Drosophila melanogaster: one gene and its partners. The protein of the gene in region 1 purifies or fractionates together with the protein of each later gene. This does not show direct contact. Each region holds a gene or a part of one and is shown in the gene's direction. Other genes may lie near its edges.

The links.
Region 2: the proteins of dally (region 1) and apolpp purify together in Drosophila melanogaster (affinity purification with western blotting; one study listed by BioGRID). This does not show direct contact.
Region 3: the proteins of dally (region 1) and cv-2 purify together in Drosophila melanogaster (affinity purification with western blotting, with the first as the bait; one study listed by BioGRID). This does not show direct contact.

Annotation. Positions count from the first base shown.
Region 1 is NT_037436.4:8,824,838-8,831,168, forward strand, and holds the start of dally (division abnormally delayed), read left to right. Parts: upstream 1-2,667; 5' UTR 2,668-3,395; coding exon 3,396-3,666; intron 3,667-6,331. UniProt on the Drosophila melanogaster protein: Cell surface proteoglycan that bears heparan sulfate. Functions as a coreceptor for growth factors and morphogens, such as the products of dpp, to regulate signaling and distribution of these ligands.
Region 2 is NC_004353.4:1,058,423-1,064,530, forward strand, and holds the start of apolpp (apolipophorin), read left to right. Parts: upstream 1-2,546; 5' UTR 2,547-2,714; intron 2,715-4,255; exon of another isoform or gene 4,256-4,497; intron 4,498-5,822; exon of another isoform or gene 5,823-5,959; intron 5,960-6,108. Other genes in the region: Zyx (zyxin), read right to left, coding at 1-82, 679-929, 997-1,414, 1,991-2,182. UniProt on the Drosophila melanogaster protein: Constitutes the major component of lipophorin, which mediates transport for various types of lipids in hemolymph. Acts by forming lipoprotein particles that bind lipoproteins and lipids.
Region 3 is NT_033778.4:21,375,903-21,381,951, reverse strand, and holds the start of cv-2 (crossveinless 2), read left to right. Parts: upstream 1-2,487; 5' UTR 2,488-3,447; intron 3,448-6,049.

The DNA of each region.
Region 1 (6,331 bases):
GCCGCCCAGGTCTTTTAAAATATAAGAAGACGAGGCTGGCATTCAAATCTCTGCCCCCAGCTCGATGACTTCACACATTCCACAGCGAACGAGAGGGGTGTGGGATCGAAGAACTTCCTTGAAAACCCCCGTCTAAGCCAAGTGAAGAACTTAAACGTCGAACCAGTTTTTGGTGAATGAAAAGCCAGCAAGCCCAAAGTTGCACACAAACTCCAAACTCAAAGCAGAAGAAACCCGAAGCGAAGTACCAGAAAAGGGGGGCCCCCACTGAAAAGGGGCAGCCTGGCAGCTAAAATATAATAAAAAGAAATTAAAATAAAATTCAAAAATGTGCAAAACGAGACCGAGAACGAGAAATGCTGCATGCCAGTCTTCGGGCATGAGGGAGCGGTACTGGAGAAGAATCTCCGTGGAACCTGTTGGACCAGTCACACACACAGGCAGGCACACCAACAACCGAATGCCACCAACGTGTTTGTGCCAGGATAAAAGGCAAGCCGGGTCGCTCCATGGGTATATATATCCATCTCTTTTCGACCCGCTCCGGAGGATTTCAAGTGTAAAACGCTGTCGCTTGTGGAATGCGCGCACACACACAAACACAAGCGGATACAACTGCATAGATAGCCCAACATTTGGCCATATTTTGCTGCACTAAATCAAGCGTTTAAACGAAATTCGAGTTGGGCCAACAAGCCAACGAGCCGAGCTAAAAGCGTTCATATTTTCCCGATCGCCAAAAAGAAGCACCATAATTTATAGATGCCGTTTGACTAAATTCGTTTAATTCCAGTCCTACCTTTACCCACACACCTATATAATATATATGCCTACGGTTTACCTGTGCGATACAAAAATAAGGAGGAAAAAAAAACGGAAAATAAGGCGAGAGAGCGAGAAGTAAAAGGGTTTTGGTTTTGGTTTCGGTTTCGGTTTCTTTGGGACCTTCGCTCTCATCGATCGTTCCGTAGTGTACATTATAATTTATAACTTTATCTAAACGATGTGGTGGTGTTTAATTTTCGACCTCACCTTTTCCAGCTCGTTTTTGTTTTTTGTTGCCGTTTCGCCATCCCATCACCATCATCATCATCATCATCATCACGGTTGTTTCTGATGTGGATTCGTTTCATTGGAGAACTGTTTCCGCTTCGCATGACTCACTTTTCGCTGTTTGCCCCGGGGTCTTGAGTCTTCTCCTTTTTTTTTTCTTATTTTTTGGGAGGTCTTTCTTTATCGCACACTAATTTGAATAGGATTCCATTTCGTGATGAACATATCACCGGGAACGGAAAACATCCATGGGGGGTGGGAGGGCGTTTGCGCCCAGCTGGACGCCCGCAACTGACCACCATGAAGTTCCCGCTGCCCTGGCTATATAGTATCTTGTTAATGAAGAAATAGATACACAGACGCCCCGAGACGCCTAGGTATTTAAGATCGAGGTCGGTGCCCGCGGGGTGACGAGTGAAAGTCCGGGGAGAAGAGGCTGGTGTGTTCGGGTCGTGCATTGTCTGCCACACCGCTGCAGCCTCAAGACAATCGCTTCGTTTTCGCAAATTGCAAAGGGAAAAAATTAACAAAAGAAAAGAAATGAAGAAAAAAAAACAAACGATACCACCACACGTGCTGTGCGAGGTCATGACACGGCTATCAATTTGAACAGAAACATTTAGCCCTAGGGAAATAGCTGCCAAGCATCTGAGACTCTTCAAAGGCGTGAAATCTGAGCCTGCTCCACGGGTTCATCAAGCCGATCGTAAAACATAGCCTATGAAATAAAATTAGAACTCATTCAGACATCAATTAGAACCGAGCATGCAAATTTCAACCAGCGGCATCGATAAAAGCCCGGATTAAAAGCCACCGGAGCACCCGAGAAGACCACTGTGAGATGGATTGATTTACGTTGAATATGCAAATTGCAGCGAGCCAACGTTGAAAGCTTTTAGAAGAGCATTTCGAGAATTTGAATAAATATTTAGGCCCATCGGACACAGAGAAAAATAATCAGAATCAAGCCAGCTCCTGTGGCAGATGACACGGCCAGGGAAAACTCGAAGTTGGTCCTGAAGAATGCCGGAACCCATAAATAAATGCGAATCACTATTGAAATATATAAAACGAAAACAGGATATGTGTCATATCAAATTTTATGGAACTACGTAGATTCATTGGCTGTCGAAATCGTTTGGCAATCATCGAAGAGAATAGATATCTTACGAAAGCTAAGCTTGCGTTACTAACTTTAATTTCCCCTTTTACTCATACTACATGCTGTTAATAAATACAACATCTTATAAATTGTGGTTGGGCATTCCTTAATTAAAATACTTTATAATATCTAATAAGCATTACAAAGTTTGTGGTTTAGTTCGAAGCTCGTTTTCCAAAACTCTAAAGACTCAAATTAATTAATTCATTTCAGATTGCGCCCTTGTATTACTCATGTATTCTCGGCGTTAACCTGTGAATTAAATTGAGTTCGCATAAACACCTCTATTCATTGCACCACTGTGCCAACATCTGTGCTCGCCGTTCTCTTTTGTTCGAAAGAGAGCGTTCGGATGGTTCTCTTAGCGCCGATTGTCGAGTGCCGAGTGTGGTTCGTGTTCGCATCGTTAAAGTTGTAGCACTCAGGGCGGATGTTTGATTTCGATGGCAAAGTCAATCTGTTCGGGTTTCTCGTCGTGGAAGGTTCGTTGCGCGCGCGGAAAAACTGAAAATATCGGTGCGAAATTCGAGCGGAAAAACGCTAGAAAAGAAGGCGAGTGCATTTCCTCGACCTGAGAACGCCGGTGGCCAAGGAGCTTTGCAATTAAATCTATTTTCGCCGACCTAAGTACACAAAACGTAGGAGAAAATTAAAAAGAAGAAAAAAAAAACAAATCTAATCGCTGGCAAATCAATTGCTAAGGAATTGAGTACTATTCGTTGTTATGTCATGGAAAGTCTCTGAATAAGTTAAGAAAATACTTGTGAGAAATTTAGCGACCTTTCAAAACTAGAAAGTAGAAAAGCAAAAAGTGCTAGACACGCGCTCTCTCTTCGACCACCACCCACCACCACCCACTATCGCCATCCCACGTTTACTACCACGTTTATTGCTCACGCGTGTTTTTGGGGCCTTTTGTTTTGTGCGCTCGTGTTTGTGGCCGTGTGTGCCAGTGTGTGTGTGTGCGTGTTAGCCGGCAAGTGCATTTGTGTGAGTGTGTGTGTTTGTTGCCGCGAACAGCTGTTCACCCAGACAGCATGCAGAAGTAAATACGAAGAAGTGCTGCAAAATAGAGTAAATAAAATAACCGGCTAAAATAAAAATAAGAGAAGCATTCAAAGGCAAATCAAATTTAGCCCCATCATCCACTGTGTCTGCACACAGAAATCACCCATCAAAAATGGCGGCCAGGAGCGTGCGGCTAGCGCAGCTTTTGCTATTTACCCTGCTCTGCGGCTTCGTCGGCCTGTCAGCCGCCAAGCACCTGGACCTGGATGGTATCCACCACCACCAGCACCACCTGCACAGCGCCACCACGCACCACAGACGTCGCCTACAGCGGGACTCGCGGGCGAAGGACGCCGTTGGGGGATCGACCCACCAGTGTGATGCCGTCAAGAGCTACTTCGAATCGATCGACATCAAGTCGAGTGGGACTTACAGCGAAAAAGGTAAAGTTCACGCCATCCATCCGTAGAGTTATAATATCGAGTATGCACTTGGACATGCGGGCTGGGGAAGAAGCGGGGAACGATGGAGGAAGTTAAAGCTACCAATATGGTTAAGGCCCCTTAGGAGCAAACGTACTAACTTTAAACTATGCAGAGGAAAACGTATGTTATTTCCCCAGGTCACTAGAGTGGTTCGAATACTTAAAGTCTAAGTTATCTACTCCATTAAATAAGAAAGAGGTACATAAATTGGGATTATTGATAATGGTTTTTCAATTTAATTACTTTTGCATCCTCTCCGTTTAAAAACATTTCTTTTGCGGGAAATTCATTGCCTTGATTTCAGAGTTTGTCTTAACCCTCGCCTCGCCATCAGTCTTCCATACTTCAACCAAGTAAATCGCGCGTCAGCCAAAGTTTTTGCCATCCCGCAGCTGCAGTTTCTCTTATTTCTAGTCCGTTCTAGACCCCATCCGCTTCTCAATCCCCGCCAGAAACTAGAAGCATATGCAAATTCATTGAACTGAGTGAAACCCTCGAGCGGGCAGCCACTCGAGGCGAACTATGACCACTCGAACAGCCGGGCGCCGTTTGCAATTAGAAGATTGCGCATTGAGCAACGCCTCGGAAAAGTTTTCGACGTGCCGTGGATAAAGTTTTTGGCCGCGCCAGGTTCATTACATATCGGATCTGGCACCTCGCAGATGCAGAGATACATAGATACACAGGCGGCGGCATCATTTGTTATTCTGATTTCTCGACACTGCCATATCAAGTGGCACGCATCTGAGGCCAAACTGTGTGAAGGCTATGGAAGGTATATTTATATTTACCACAGCCGATATCCACAAGATACTCGACATATTTTTGTTTATGCATATTTCATACCCGAAGTCAAAAATAAGACCGAATAACCAAATAATGCAATACAATCCGATAATATCAGTCGAAAACGAGCGAATGTACCCAATATATATCTGTTTCGTGTAATTGAGTGAAAAATAATTATTATTGATTAGCCGACCTTGACTTGGTATTTACGCGTTTACGCACAATTACATGATACACAGCCGCAAACTCGACTGGAATACAAATGTATCTGGCGATGATGTTGCAACTTTTCCCTCCAATGCTTACCTGTCTGCAGAGGTTCTCGGTTCTCTTTGCTCATTCTGTTCAGTCGTTCCCACACGCAGGTAGTTAACGCCAAGAAGAACTATCTATGAGATACATTGCTGAGCAGACCGCATTGCCATGGCATCAAAGTGTGAAGAACCGAATAGCCAACCGAGAGTTGGCGTTACAAGTGCATGTTTGTGTGTCCCAGAGACTTATCCACCTGAATGCCAGAATGCCCAATTGAACTGGTAGCTGGAAGTTATTAGCGCTGGCTTTGAGGAATTTCAATTTGGCTAATGCCAGGCGGCGTATCTCCGATCAGCACCTATGTATGTATCTCTGTATCTCTGGTCGTTGCTCCTGCTTAAGTATGCCGAACCTTGTTTTCGACATTTATTTACTGTTTACATAGTTCCACTTGCGCCTGCCTCCGCCTCCGTAGAATTTATGCCCCGCCAATGTATCTATGTATATCTGTTAATGTATCTGTATCCGTACAGTACGTATCCGTATCTCCATCTATATCTCTTTCTGTTTGCTCTGGAGTGTGTTACTTTTACGTTTATGTGCTGTTTGTGATGCTAATCTCTCGTCGGTGCCATGCATACGATATGTTTCTCCCGATTTGCTTTTGCCGTGCAGTTCCCGGTAGAGGCGCTCGGCATAAAACTAAATTTTAATTTAATTGCGCACACCACTCGACTGCTAATTGAGTTGGCTTTGCTTTTGGGCCAAAAAAAAAAAACAGTATTACTCCGTGCCTATTAAAATGAACATTAACATTGGCGCGTTACAAAGACGCACAGGAAGTCGTAGCTGCAGTATCTAATCGTATCGCACAGTATCTGTATCTGTTTACCTGCAAGTATCTGTAGTATCTGTATCTATGCTTAAGGCATAGCAGTTCCAATGCCCCCGACCGTGTTACTAAATATTTAAGCAACTCGCAACAGAAATTAGAGCAAGCCATGAGATATGAGCCCATGTATCCGCGTATCTCCTCCGCCGGCAAGTGTTTGTGTGCCGCCTGGCTAGATAAGTGAAAAGTGCAAATAGAGAAGGCAAAGGCAAACGTGACTCGTTTGGAGCGGGGAAAACTGCTTAGCAGACAACTTTTCAAACGGATTCCATTTCCCTGACATGTACGTAGGTATGCATACCTGCAGTTTGGGTGCGTGGGCCTACGCTTATGCTTTTGCCATCAAAGGAGCTCATCCTCGAGTAAAAATTTTAATTAACTAGAGAACTGCGCATATGCCCCAATCCCATACCCAAATCATTAGTGGTTAGAGGAAGAGCAGCACAGCTCACTATCGCTCGGCACTGCCAATTAAAAGTTGAAGTTCCATTCCATGTGAGATGGCAAATGGCATAGAACTCCACTTAAGGCTTAACTGCCAACATAAATGTGCCAAATTTCGACTAAGCGAAATTCGTCAAAAAGTAGCAAAACCCATCAAGCTGAACCAAAAACGATCCATAACACTTATGTCGCGACGATCGTAAAGATCGTCAGCCAAATTCCGATTGCCCGAAACTCGTTTTG
Region 2 (6,108 bases), on another chromosome or scaffold:
TATAACTTTCACGAGGCAGCGTATCTGCAACACAGGGTCGAGGGTTTATAGGTTCATATATTGAATCATATGTAGAAGAGCTCTGAAAATTAAAAAATTATGAATTATATAAATTATTATTATAAAATGCAAACAAAATTTTGTTCCAAATATACAATTAATACATCATTTGGAAGTTATAATCGTAAAAAGGAATAAAAGATTCGGTGAAAAGTATGTAACATGTATATATGAAGAATCGATTTCGATCGTATATATTTTTTTGTTGCAAAGGAACACTAGCCGAGTCTATCTGCCCATGCACGTATGCCCACTCTGATTTTGGGAACAATATAGGCAATAAAACCTGCCGGACTAGCGAATGAAATAGATGCATTTGTACATCATAATCCACAAAATGTTGTTAATCCATCTATTTAACGTTTAAAGTTCTTTCTAAATGTGGAAATAGTTATTGTTTATTGTTTTTTTTTTTTTAATAAATGTATATACATTAACATATTTCAAGTTAACTAAAAGTTCAATGGAAAAAACTGCCTACGTTCGTAAGTCATTTAATTATTCTTCAGCTTTGCTGATTGCATATCTTAATTTTTGTCGTGCACTTCTATTAGATGAATAAGATTGTTTATCAGACAGAAATATACTCCAGAGTAATGAACTTCAGATTTTGTGTACCTTGCCTGTGGCATCATGCTGCATCGCATATTGGTTTGCATATATTTGTAAAGGATTCGTTGTCTGGTTATTTTGTAAATAATCAATTGGTTTGTTGAATTCCAAAGTGGCGTGACGAAGCTCACTGTATGAAGAACTCACAGCGCTCTCTGGACTAGGTGGTGGCGGTAACTCATCTTTTTCGTTGTCTGAAATAAAATTAGTGCAGACGGATAGCATCTTTTGCGTTGAGCTATGAGAAGAGTCCATTGCTTTGACATTTAAATTATTTTATAATTAATACTATACAATTTTTATATAAGCATTACATAAACATACCAGTTTCATTAACGTTTGAATATGTACTCGCAGAAATCTTAGTTTCGTCTGTTAATAGTTCTAATGTTTCTATTTCTTTGCGAACAGAACCTAAATTAGAATATATTAAGCTTTTGCTTAAAGTCTTTGAAAGGGGCTTTGTAAAGCTGTTGAGAGGTTGTGTTGGCTTAGCTTGTACTCCCAAAAGACCCTTTTTTTCCATTTGAAGTTTATGGTAAGCAAGAGCTTCTAATTGCTGTTCCAAAATTGCCGGATTATCTAAAGTTGTTTTTCTGTTTATTTGAGTATCAGCAACTCCGAATTCAGAGCTGAGGTATTTTCTAAAAGGCATATGCCCCCTCATTGTTTTCTCGACTCCAATCAGAGGTTGTGAATATAGTGGTTCCCGCGAACACAAAACCTGTCTGCTTGATGGAACCTGAAATAAATAAATATTTATGCTTAAGTATACGTTATTATACACAGTTTTTCAGAATAATAACTTTTTATAATACAGGGTATAATAAGGGTATTATAAATAAAAACTAAGATGTGACATGCAGATTTTAATGACTTTGTACGCTGTGCAAAGTTCTAAATATTGCCACAGTTTGCACAGTTTGGTTTTTACCGAAGTGAAAAAGGCATGCGATAGATATTTAGGTACTGGTACAGTTAAGAATATCCCCTAAATTTACATATGTATACTTAAAACAATATTTACTTAAAAATTGATTATGTTTTTTTTAATGAATTGCTCCTGATATGTCGTGTAACAATCCATTAGTCTGTACTTGTTTTTGATTTCTGTCATCTGAATGGTAGCAAATGTTCGCTCACAGTCCAGCCGATCAATAATATATAAGTATATTACATATGCTTTTGTAGAGGGACGGAAATACCCTCTAAAACGGTACAATAACGGACTTTAAGGCTTAAAGAACAAGCCTTTGAGGAGAATCAATGAATTGCTTTGTATATAACACAAACTGGCTATACTAAAGTATGTATGTACCTGAGGCATTTCATTATATTTTATCGGCGGCTTAGGAGGTATATCCAATCTCCTCTTTACTGATGCATTTTGATTATTACTTATCTTGGCGACTAGCTTCGCAACTTTTCCATGTCCAATACATACAAGCGGTGAGCCTGTGTCACCTTTTGGAAGCGACAGCTCTCTAAGTTGCTGGGCCACAGACTCCATTGAAATTTAACAAAACGCGATTCCGTTTTCCTACAACAATAATAAAAACCTTTTTCTAATTTAAATTAAATCAAACATTCAAAGTCGTGAAATTTTAATTTAATATTTTCACTCCTTAACATTAATGAAATTACACCTGTAATGATGATAGTTTGGTTTGTTTTTAACCTGCATATAATTTTACTATATGTATAAAACAATTATTTTTATAAAATTATTGACATTTCAATACTAAGTGGAAATAAAACTATCGCTTATCGAATTTATGAGGCCCAGCAGTGTGACCTTAACACGAGAGCTAGAAAATCATTCTAGGCGCATAGGCTCGTATTCGAACTTATTAAATATGTAGTACTCACTTCGTACAATCGCTTTATATCTCGAAAGCTAATAAGACCATAGACACACTTAAGCGAGATATTGAAGCTAAATCCATATAAAACATATATATGTAGTTTTGCCTAAACGGCACCTTGGCAATCAAAGAAAATAATCCTAATCTGATTATAGGCGGACTATAAGTCAATGTAAGGTATTGAGAGAACTAATTGTTTGATTGAGACTACTTTAGTACGATAGAATAAATGAATAGAGTGTGAACAAATTCATGCCAAAGGACTTTAATTATTACATAAACATTAAACCGTGCGTTGAAACAATATTGTTATGTATTTTTATTTATAAATCTTAAAATATCAACGAAAAATTCGCCAAAAACATCGATGTCCACCAACATCGATGTTTCTCCACCTCTAACCTAAGTCCTAGAATCGAACTAATCCCAAGTGGGTAACGTGTACATTTTGTTTATTTTAGCAGGTATAGTCACTCCAACGAACAATCGGACACGTGCACTCTTATATAAGATGTGTCTCAAAGTGTCAGTCTGTATGACCTTCCCTGTAAGCGTATAGATCTCAGGAACTATAAGCTAAAAAGTTAAGATTAAGAATGCGTACTGCAGAGACATACGCGCAGAGCCAGTTTGCTTTCATGCCCGCTCTAACGCAGATGTACAAACCGCACAAAATTGCTACACCCATACCTTTCAAAAATATTTGTTTTTTTTATTATATATTTTTCTAATTTCTATCGGTTAACCAATAACATTTTGGCCACGCCCCACAAACCCTCCGAAAACTCCCACGCCCACACACTTTTGAGGAATAATTTTATTTGCATGGATTATATAATTTATTTTGCCTAGCGATGTACCCCAACGCCACCTTTCCAATCCGTCACGAATACATTTATGATATATTTCGATTTATTTATTAATATTTTTTTTTTTAATTTTTTATCGAAATGCCGATAAATAAGGAAATATTTTGCTCTTCCGTTTGTCGAGTAAGGGATATCTGACTGTCGGGGAACTTGACTATAGCTGTCACTGGAAAACTTTATGGGAAAGTTTCATTCAGGGATAATTAGTGAGACAAGTTTGTGTAGAAGCGAACGGATGGCAAAACAGACGATGAACGGCGATATCGACTCCACCGCTTTCCAGAAACTGATCAATAATTGATAAACCCCTGAACAAATTTTTAACTCAAATTTTTATAATATTTCCTTTGGGCCCAAACAAAACAAATGGCTGTCATGTAGGTGGCTTCCGATAAATTCGCTCACTCGACCACTGTTATTAAAAATATTTATAAGTTAACTTTATGAAATAAATCTCGTTTCAACATCATCCGAAATTGCATTTTTGTTCTTCTCCCAGACAAAGGAATTTTAAAATAAATTAAATCTGGTGCGGCTCTTTCAATTTATTTTTTCGTGATATTTGGTTCAGCTAATTTGCTAATAAATGTAAATGTAAATGCGAAGTCATATTACTTCATATTCAAGAAGAAAATTCTGTTCTCTTCTTATCTTCATGTAAGAAATTCACATTAAATACCGTGGAGGTCTGAATATAAATATTAATTTCATTGAATAAAGTTCCTCGTTAATATAAAAATGATTGCAAACCACAGTTGCTTGTAAATAAGTACCATAACGATATCCATATTTTTGAACACCACACCCAATCGTCTAATTGTTTGGCCCAATCGAAGCGAAATTAAGCTCGGTGGAGGAGTATTGTAAAGGATAGGGGAATGACCGATTTCTAAGGAGCCACATAATTAGGAGCCAAAATAATTATTAATTAATCAAATACCTTTTTAGTCAAGTGGTATAAAAACCCTAAATATGGGAAATCTATCATGAAAGGTGCACTTTTAAAAGGAAGCTGACTTGGAATCACTTCACATATGTACGGCCATAGAGCTCAATTCATCAGCGGAATCTTTTCAGAAAATGTGGGCACGGTAATCTAACTTTTTAATGGTTAAAGAAAAAAGATTTAAATGGTTGTAATCAGACAATCGTAACTGACATCCTATTCTACGCTTCTAAACAGTGGTCTCCTGCTGTCACAACGCACTATTAGTGATCATCTTCAAAGCGTGGACTTCCGTTTACGATGATTTATTTACTAACCGGGAACAATACAAGAGTAAACTTCTTTCGAACTGTAATTTTTTCTGTCCGATCACGCAGGCTGCCTTTCTGCGTGCTTATCGAGCAGCGTTTTGCTTTCCAGCAACTTTTAATTACAGATTAAAGTTTCTTATCAGTCGTTAACTGCAATTCAGGAACGAACTTTCATATAAACATATTTTATACATCTGTTCAAAATCAAATAAATATACATGTGTAAATATGTGTATGCATATTTTAAATACCTATGTACCTATGCTTGCATTTGTAAGCATACTTTCATCTATATGAAAAAAGGGCATAAAAATGTATAACAAATTCCATTACAGATGTGTGCAAACATGGATTGCAAGTGACAATCTCTGCAAATGCATATATGTATGTATGTATGTGTGTACTTGCGCATTCACATTAAATTTGGAATGATAACAATTGTTACATCGAATTTCTCAATACCTATACATAAAACATAATTGCTTTAGAGTTACAACTAGTTTTCTTATTTGCACATACAGTTTGTCAAGAAACTGTTTACACACTGTGAAATAAGTTGAATTTTTGACTTTAAAGGTAAAAACTAAGGGTTCTTTGCTTAAATTAAACGCAATTTTTTTCTAAAATATAATTAATCAATATTTATTTTACTTATGAATCAAAAAACGAATTAAAAATATTAATTATACAAGAAAATAAACAACAAATTCCAAGTTTACACACTTTTGAGACTGTCAAGTATATAAATATCAGTTTTCAACATTTATAATCACAATTATACTTTGCATTTCTTACAGTTTTCAACACCTTTAAGAGGAAAACGTAATTTGCGATTTGTTTATTACTTTATTAGCCCAAAGCCATATTTAAAATATTGAAAAGGTAGATGAAAGGATTTTGTACTACTAAAGTAATAGAGTGATTCGAACAATATTTGCTTTTAAGTTACATTTTTAATGGAGACTGTGGGTGGTTTTGGTAACATATGGCTTGCCAGAAAATGCGGTGAAGTGTAAATTAAAATGCTTAATTGGGTATAATAGGTCTGGTAGGATGGCCAGAAGGGGGTGGTCACCCAAAACAACCAAGTTTAGAAGCAAGCATAAACGACCCTGTAAAGTATATATATATATATATAAACTTGAGCAGGATTTCTTACCAAATCGATCTGGGCATGTCCGTCCGTGCCCACACTTTTGAAAAATGTTTGATATTTTGCATTTTTGTTATCAGTCAGATTTATCAATCAGATTTTACAATCTACCGATTTTTACGTCGCTCACTGTCACGCCCACACTTAAAAAAAATTTTGTGATTTTTTTTCATGTTATTATTTTTCTGGTCATTTTCCACTGGTATATCGAGAAAATGTAGGTGAAAGACGGGAAATGGTACTATAGCGTCTACATTTTCTATATATTCTATATTTTATATCAGCCATTGTA
Region 3 (6,049 bases), on another chromosome or scaffold:
ATATATTTTTGAAGTGGAGGCACTTGATCTTTGTCCGCAGTTATCTCCCTGCAATTTGCTCCTTGAAGCCACTTTTCCAATTCTGTGGACCCGATATGTATGTTTGTACATATGTATGTAGGTATCGCTTTCCATGGGGCAAATGAACTCTGCGCCATTAGGGAAATTTGAGCAGCTTGTTTGTGAGCAGGCTGTTGGTTTTCGATGTGCGCGTGATAACTTTATGGAAAATGCCCAGATCGACCAGATCCCCCATAGATTGTTGACTCTTTGACTGGGTGCAAACTATTTCACAACTTCGGTCGAGCTTGGGCTATTGGAATTGGGATTATTCTCACCTGACGCTCATCCCGAAATAGCCAGCACAACAGCGACCGAGTCACTTATTGGCCAATTGCAAATATTTACCAGTATCAAAATAGCATCGATTCGCTGCGCAAACTGCTTCGCAATCGTATATATATAGCATATAGGCTGTGGATAATCGCACCAAATGTGGGGGGTGGTTTTGGGGCTGGAGACGCTCGACGGCTTGCCTATTTGCTTAGGGCTTAGAAGCTCAACGCTTAATTACGCTCAAGTGGCGTGGAAAATTGTGGGGCGGGATTCTCAGATTTCCAACCACCGCCCACTGCCCACCGCCCACCGTCTACCTCCCCATCCACCCAAACACTAAGCAATTCGACCCGATGACGTTTATGCCAAATTGCTTTGCACTTTGTTTGCAATGCGGGGGGAACCTATGCAAATAGCAAACGGCATTTAATGAAACGCAATTATTTAATTTTACAGACTGCGTCACGGTTCCCACCTGGCTGCATATTGCACCGTTCGCCTCATAAATAATGACTAGGCAACCTCCAGTGACAAAATCCATGGCCTGGGAAACTCCATCTCTATCTCCAAATCCAAAGCTGAAACCAAGAGCATAAGCAAAGCTGAAACCGAAGCATAATCCAAACCGAGCTTCGTTCGTGATAACTGCAATTTTCCAGCCACAACTACAGATACAATGAGTGCATAAATCATCTCCAGCTCAGCTGCAACTCCGTGGCATTTTCCTAGCGTGCCGCGGCAGCTTTTCCAAAAAAACAAAAAAGAAAAACATGCAAAAAAAGGCCATCGCATAAATGTCAAATGGCTGGCAGTTTGATTTGGCTGCGGGTTAAGTGTGAATTATCCCAGGGTCTCGAAAACTCGCCACCATTTGTACCACCGTCTCTGTCTCATCATCTGCCAAATGCATTTAAGAGCTTTAAGTGCTATTATCGCATTCGAGACAAATACCATAAGACACAATTCGGATTGCAGTCACGTCGGCTTTGGGGATCATAATGAATGGATTCATTCATTCATTGTGGGAAAGAACTGCTGCTTACGATTTATAGTGCAACTAAAACTAAAGAGCTCCCAGGTAACTTAGCTAGAACTTAGCCCACGCCTTTGGTTAGTTTAGTTAGCTTAAAAAATTTTTATTACTTGCAATGATTCATTGCTATTGGTATGGATTGTGAAATTCCTTGTCATTTATAGCACCTTATTTTCAAGTTTACACTATCATATGTACATGCCATTCTGGTGATAATTTCACCTGACTGCAAAGTCATTCAATTCCACCTGACACACACTGATCTAATCAGCAGGCTTTTGAACTTCAATTCATTCATGGTTCGAGTGGAAAGCAATCGAATTGATACTACGGCCGAATAATGCCTTTATCAGACGGGAAAATACCTCCGTGAACTATCAAAACAAAGAAGTCGAGGCAGACAGCGCGGAATGCCAGTTGACAAATTCTAATTGGCAAAAGTTCCCGGAATTGAATCGAAACGAATCGCATTGAATTGATTTGCCTACCATGCGACTACTAAGGTGTGTTGATTTCCCACCCAATGCGCAGGGGGGGGGGGGGGTCGCTTCTCATGTTCGCCCTGTTAACACTTTGCCATCGTCGAGGTGTTCATTTCGCTTAGGAATGTGTGAATGTAGATTGAAATTCGATTTCAATTGCAATTCGTGAAGAGTGCGCCTTTGAAGTCGGCAGCCCTGAAATTTGGGTACAGTTGGATATGAATATCTTAACATCTCAAACATGTTACGACATGTTTAATTTAGTAGACATTGACTGTTAACTTTTTAGGGCTATACTATCTCTATAAAATCTAGATTATCTCAAAATTATCGTAGACAATGAAATATTATAAACATATTTTACTAGTATTTTGTTTTTAAGGAATCACTATAAGCATAACAATTAGTTCAAAACTTTAGAAGGCAACTAGCGTTTGTACAACAACACCAGAAAAGTCCCCTTATCGCTAAAAAATCGCAGCAAAGTGCGAGCCCCCAAAAACGAGGCCCCAATCCTCTGCTGCTGCGCTGCTTCGCCTTCGGCTCGGCTCGGCTCGGCGACACCGACACGAAGGCCAGCCCGAACGCAGACGAGCGTTTTCTCAGTGTTCTCAGCGTTTTTTCCGCTTGCAGTGCTCAGTTCAACTTTAGCTGCGCACGCGAGCGGTGCGGTTTTCCAGAAGCGCTCGAGAGTGGCTCGAAATTGTAAATTGCTGGCCAGGAAAATCTATCAGCCGTAAAAGGGGAAAACTCGCGCGCGATTTTCACGTTCGCCGATTCACACGAGACAACGATCGCTGGTGGAGCGTAATTACTATAAAATACGTAGTCCGAACGCAATTCAAATAGAAAACAACATAAACGAATTTGAAGTTTGTTATCAACGCGACTGAATCTTAATGCGGGGCTTAGCTTGAATTTCTGATATTCAGACTTGTGCGATTTTCTGTTTTTCTGATTTTCTGCGTGCGCTAATGCGTCGTTTTCCACTAACACTGGCTAGCAGCGTTTTCCAGTGGGTCCGGCGAATTGGCGCGCAATTTCATTGAATTGCATTGAATTGAATGCTTATTGCAATTGCGGCACGGCGCGAAATTGAACCTTTGACAGCGTCGACGGACAAGCGCGCACACAACGTGGCGTATGCGTAATCTGTGGCAAGCGAATCGAAGTACTCGCAATCAAATTGAAATTGAAATGCAAATGTAAATCGAAATGGAAATGGGAATTGAAATGAAAGGCGCGCGCCGGCTCAAATAAATTATGCGCCAGTGAGTTCTAAGTGCTTCGTCTCTTTCCAAACGCGGTGTGGCCTCTCTTTTTCGCGTAGAAATACATACATACGTAAAAAATAATACAAATAAAAAATAGACCCAAGCCCAGGCAATTGAAAATGCGATTTATATCGGTTCGAGTGGCAGCAACAACAGCAACAACTAGACGACAACAATAACAGCAAGAACAAGAGGCGAACTGATGATCGCTGGCAACATGTCAAGCATAATTAATTTTCGATTCCGCCGATTTCTTGCCACCAGCAGCAGCAGCAGCAGCAGTAGAAGCACCTCATCTGGAAATCTGGAAGTGTAATTACGGGTAAACTTTGCGTCTTTACTTTTTCCTTTGTAATTAATCTTTGCCTCTCCCTGATTCCGCGATTCCCCGATTCCCTGATCCGGAGATTCCCCGATTCTTTGTTGCTATAATGCCAAGTGCGATTTTGTTTTATTATAATGCGAAACATATAAACATTTCACTTATCTGTGTGTATCTGCGAACGTGTGTGCTATCTGCCTTTGTTGTTTCAACATTTTGCGAAAATTGTTTAATTGTTTGGTTTCTATTATCACATTTGGCACTCGCTCTCGCCTCTCTCTCTTGATTTCCTTCGAATTGATTACTGCCAAGCATTAAAAGTTGTAAATTCGAAATCAAAAGCCGATCAAATTGCGAATAAGCAAACATATGTTTGAGTGTCCGGGCCAGCATTTAATTGAGAACATTTGCATAGCATTTTGTAAAGGCGGAAATCATAGTTGGCTTTAATTGCCCGACAGCCATTTGGTTTGGGCTTAATAAATCCAATTCGAAAACCATTGAGGCGTTCTAAGTGAGCATTTCGAGTGTGTAGAACGACTTTAAGCCGCTTAACAGCTACCAACTAAGTGAGCGATTAAACAAAGTGCCGCAGATCGGGTGCATGAGCACAAAACACCTTATCTATTGCCGGGCATGAGTCAGCGGTGATACATATTGTTTAACCAATTAGTAACGATGTGTCAAATATCACCAGGTGATATATAGATATATAAGCTGGCCAACTGTCAGGCTGCAAAGATGATAAATCACTGCAGCAGCTGCTGCTGCAACTGCAACTGCAGCTGAAACTTCAATTGCAGCGAGAATTGTCACTAAGCTAATCGCAGGCCATTTCCTGTATTACCCTCATCGAGCCATAAAAAGTGTCATCGCTTGGTGGACGGGGCCACAAATAGGAAATACAATAAACTGGCTCATTAGGAGGACAGTCTGGCAGAAGGACACCAAAACAAATTACGACTGCTGGGGCAATGGAGACACAAACCGAAACGCAAACATAAGAGCCAATAAAGTATGCACGGAAAGAAATATTATTTAAGCATTTTCAATGCATCCAAGTACTTCTGTTCAAATTTATATCTGTTTTATCAAATGTATTACCATTGTTTCGTATTTTGAATACAACATACTGTATCTTTGATTGCTAATATCTTGCTAGTTTTAACGTATTTTCTTTCGTCACATTCTTCATTTATCTCTGTGTAAATAACACTGGTAATAACTGCTCTTTGCAGGGGGGACTGCAATTGGGATTGGGATACGTTTGGGGGCGGGGCAGGTAGTAAGCCAAAGCTACATGGGTTAATACGAATGTGCGCCGGTATGTCCATGAAACGTCCATAGAACAGACGTCTGACTAGCAGTTCGCGTACTGGGCTAAACTGGCGACACACCAGCCCATGGATGACAGTCCCCATTCCTATTCCCATTCCCATTCGGCGTCCCCAAGCCTCCCATCCTTGAGCTATCCAAACCAATCCCCTATCCTCCGATCCCTGACTTGCAGTGGCAGAGACAAACGGACGGACTTTCCCGTACTGCCTAGGTGTCGCTTTTTGTTGTTGTTTCTGTTCGCTTTATAATAAAAATGCAACCATACCAGTTTTGCCAACTGACAACTGGCATACACAGGCGGCGGGGCCAACTCGTTTGCCCCTTCTGTCCACCGACCAACATCAACATCAACAATAACAACTGCAACTACAACTACGAACTGCATGTGAATTTGGTTTAAAAAAAAAACTATGTGTTTATACCCTTGGATCAAGGGTAATTGAAGTGGATGATGTTGTTTGCTTAGCACGAGTTGGGGAACTCTTGAATGAAGATGGGCAGAAAGTAGTTTTTACAAGTTTTGAAGTTAGAAAGTCCTTTGGATGGAGTGAATCTTTTGGGGTTGAGAAAGGCATGATAACTAACTTACTAACTCTAGTAACTTGCCCACAGAAAAGCGAAACTTAAAATGATTTATTTTCCAATTTAATTTGATCTGCGTTATCTTAGATCCTTTAAGTAATACATGTATTCAGATTCTAAAGGACTTAGAAGAGCGTGCTTTCCAGGGTACTCCCTGTTCGGATACGTTAGGGTACGATTCGGGTTGCGACTCTTTCTCGCTCCCGCTGGCCACGTTCACGCACCTGTCCAAGCACAGCAGAGCCAGGCGGTCTGCGATCCCCGATCTGCGGTCCACAATCTTGGGGGGATTCGGTTCTGCTCCACACACGGGACTCTCGAGGCGAGCGATCTGCAATCCGCACGCTCACCTGGAGAGGTGAGCAGCCAGTGCAACTGGTGTCTTTGCAGGTGTTTTTGTTTGTTTGTTTGCTGCACTTGATTATGCTGTCGAGGGGGTGAAGGGGGGGGGACTGCGGTCTGCAACACTGCCTGCATAATAATAATCCACCAATTAAAATATGATCGCATAATAACTCGACACTCGCGCGTCTGCTTATGATTTATGGTGCAGCTGGTTCGGCCAGCGACTTTTAACTTATTTATAGAGATGGTCCAGCTATAGAGAACCCATTTCCCATTCCCCAATCCCCGCTCTCCGCTCCCGATTCCCGTTCTACGAAGAATTCTTCTAGTGGGGTAA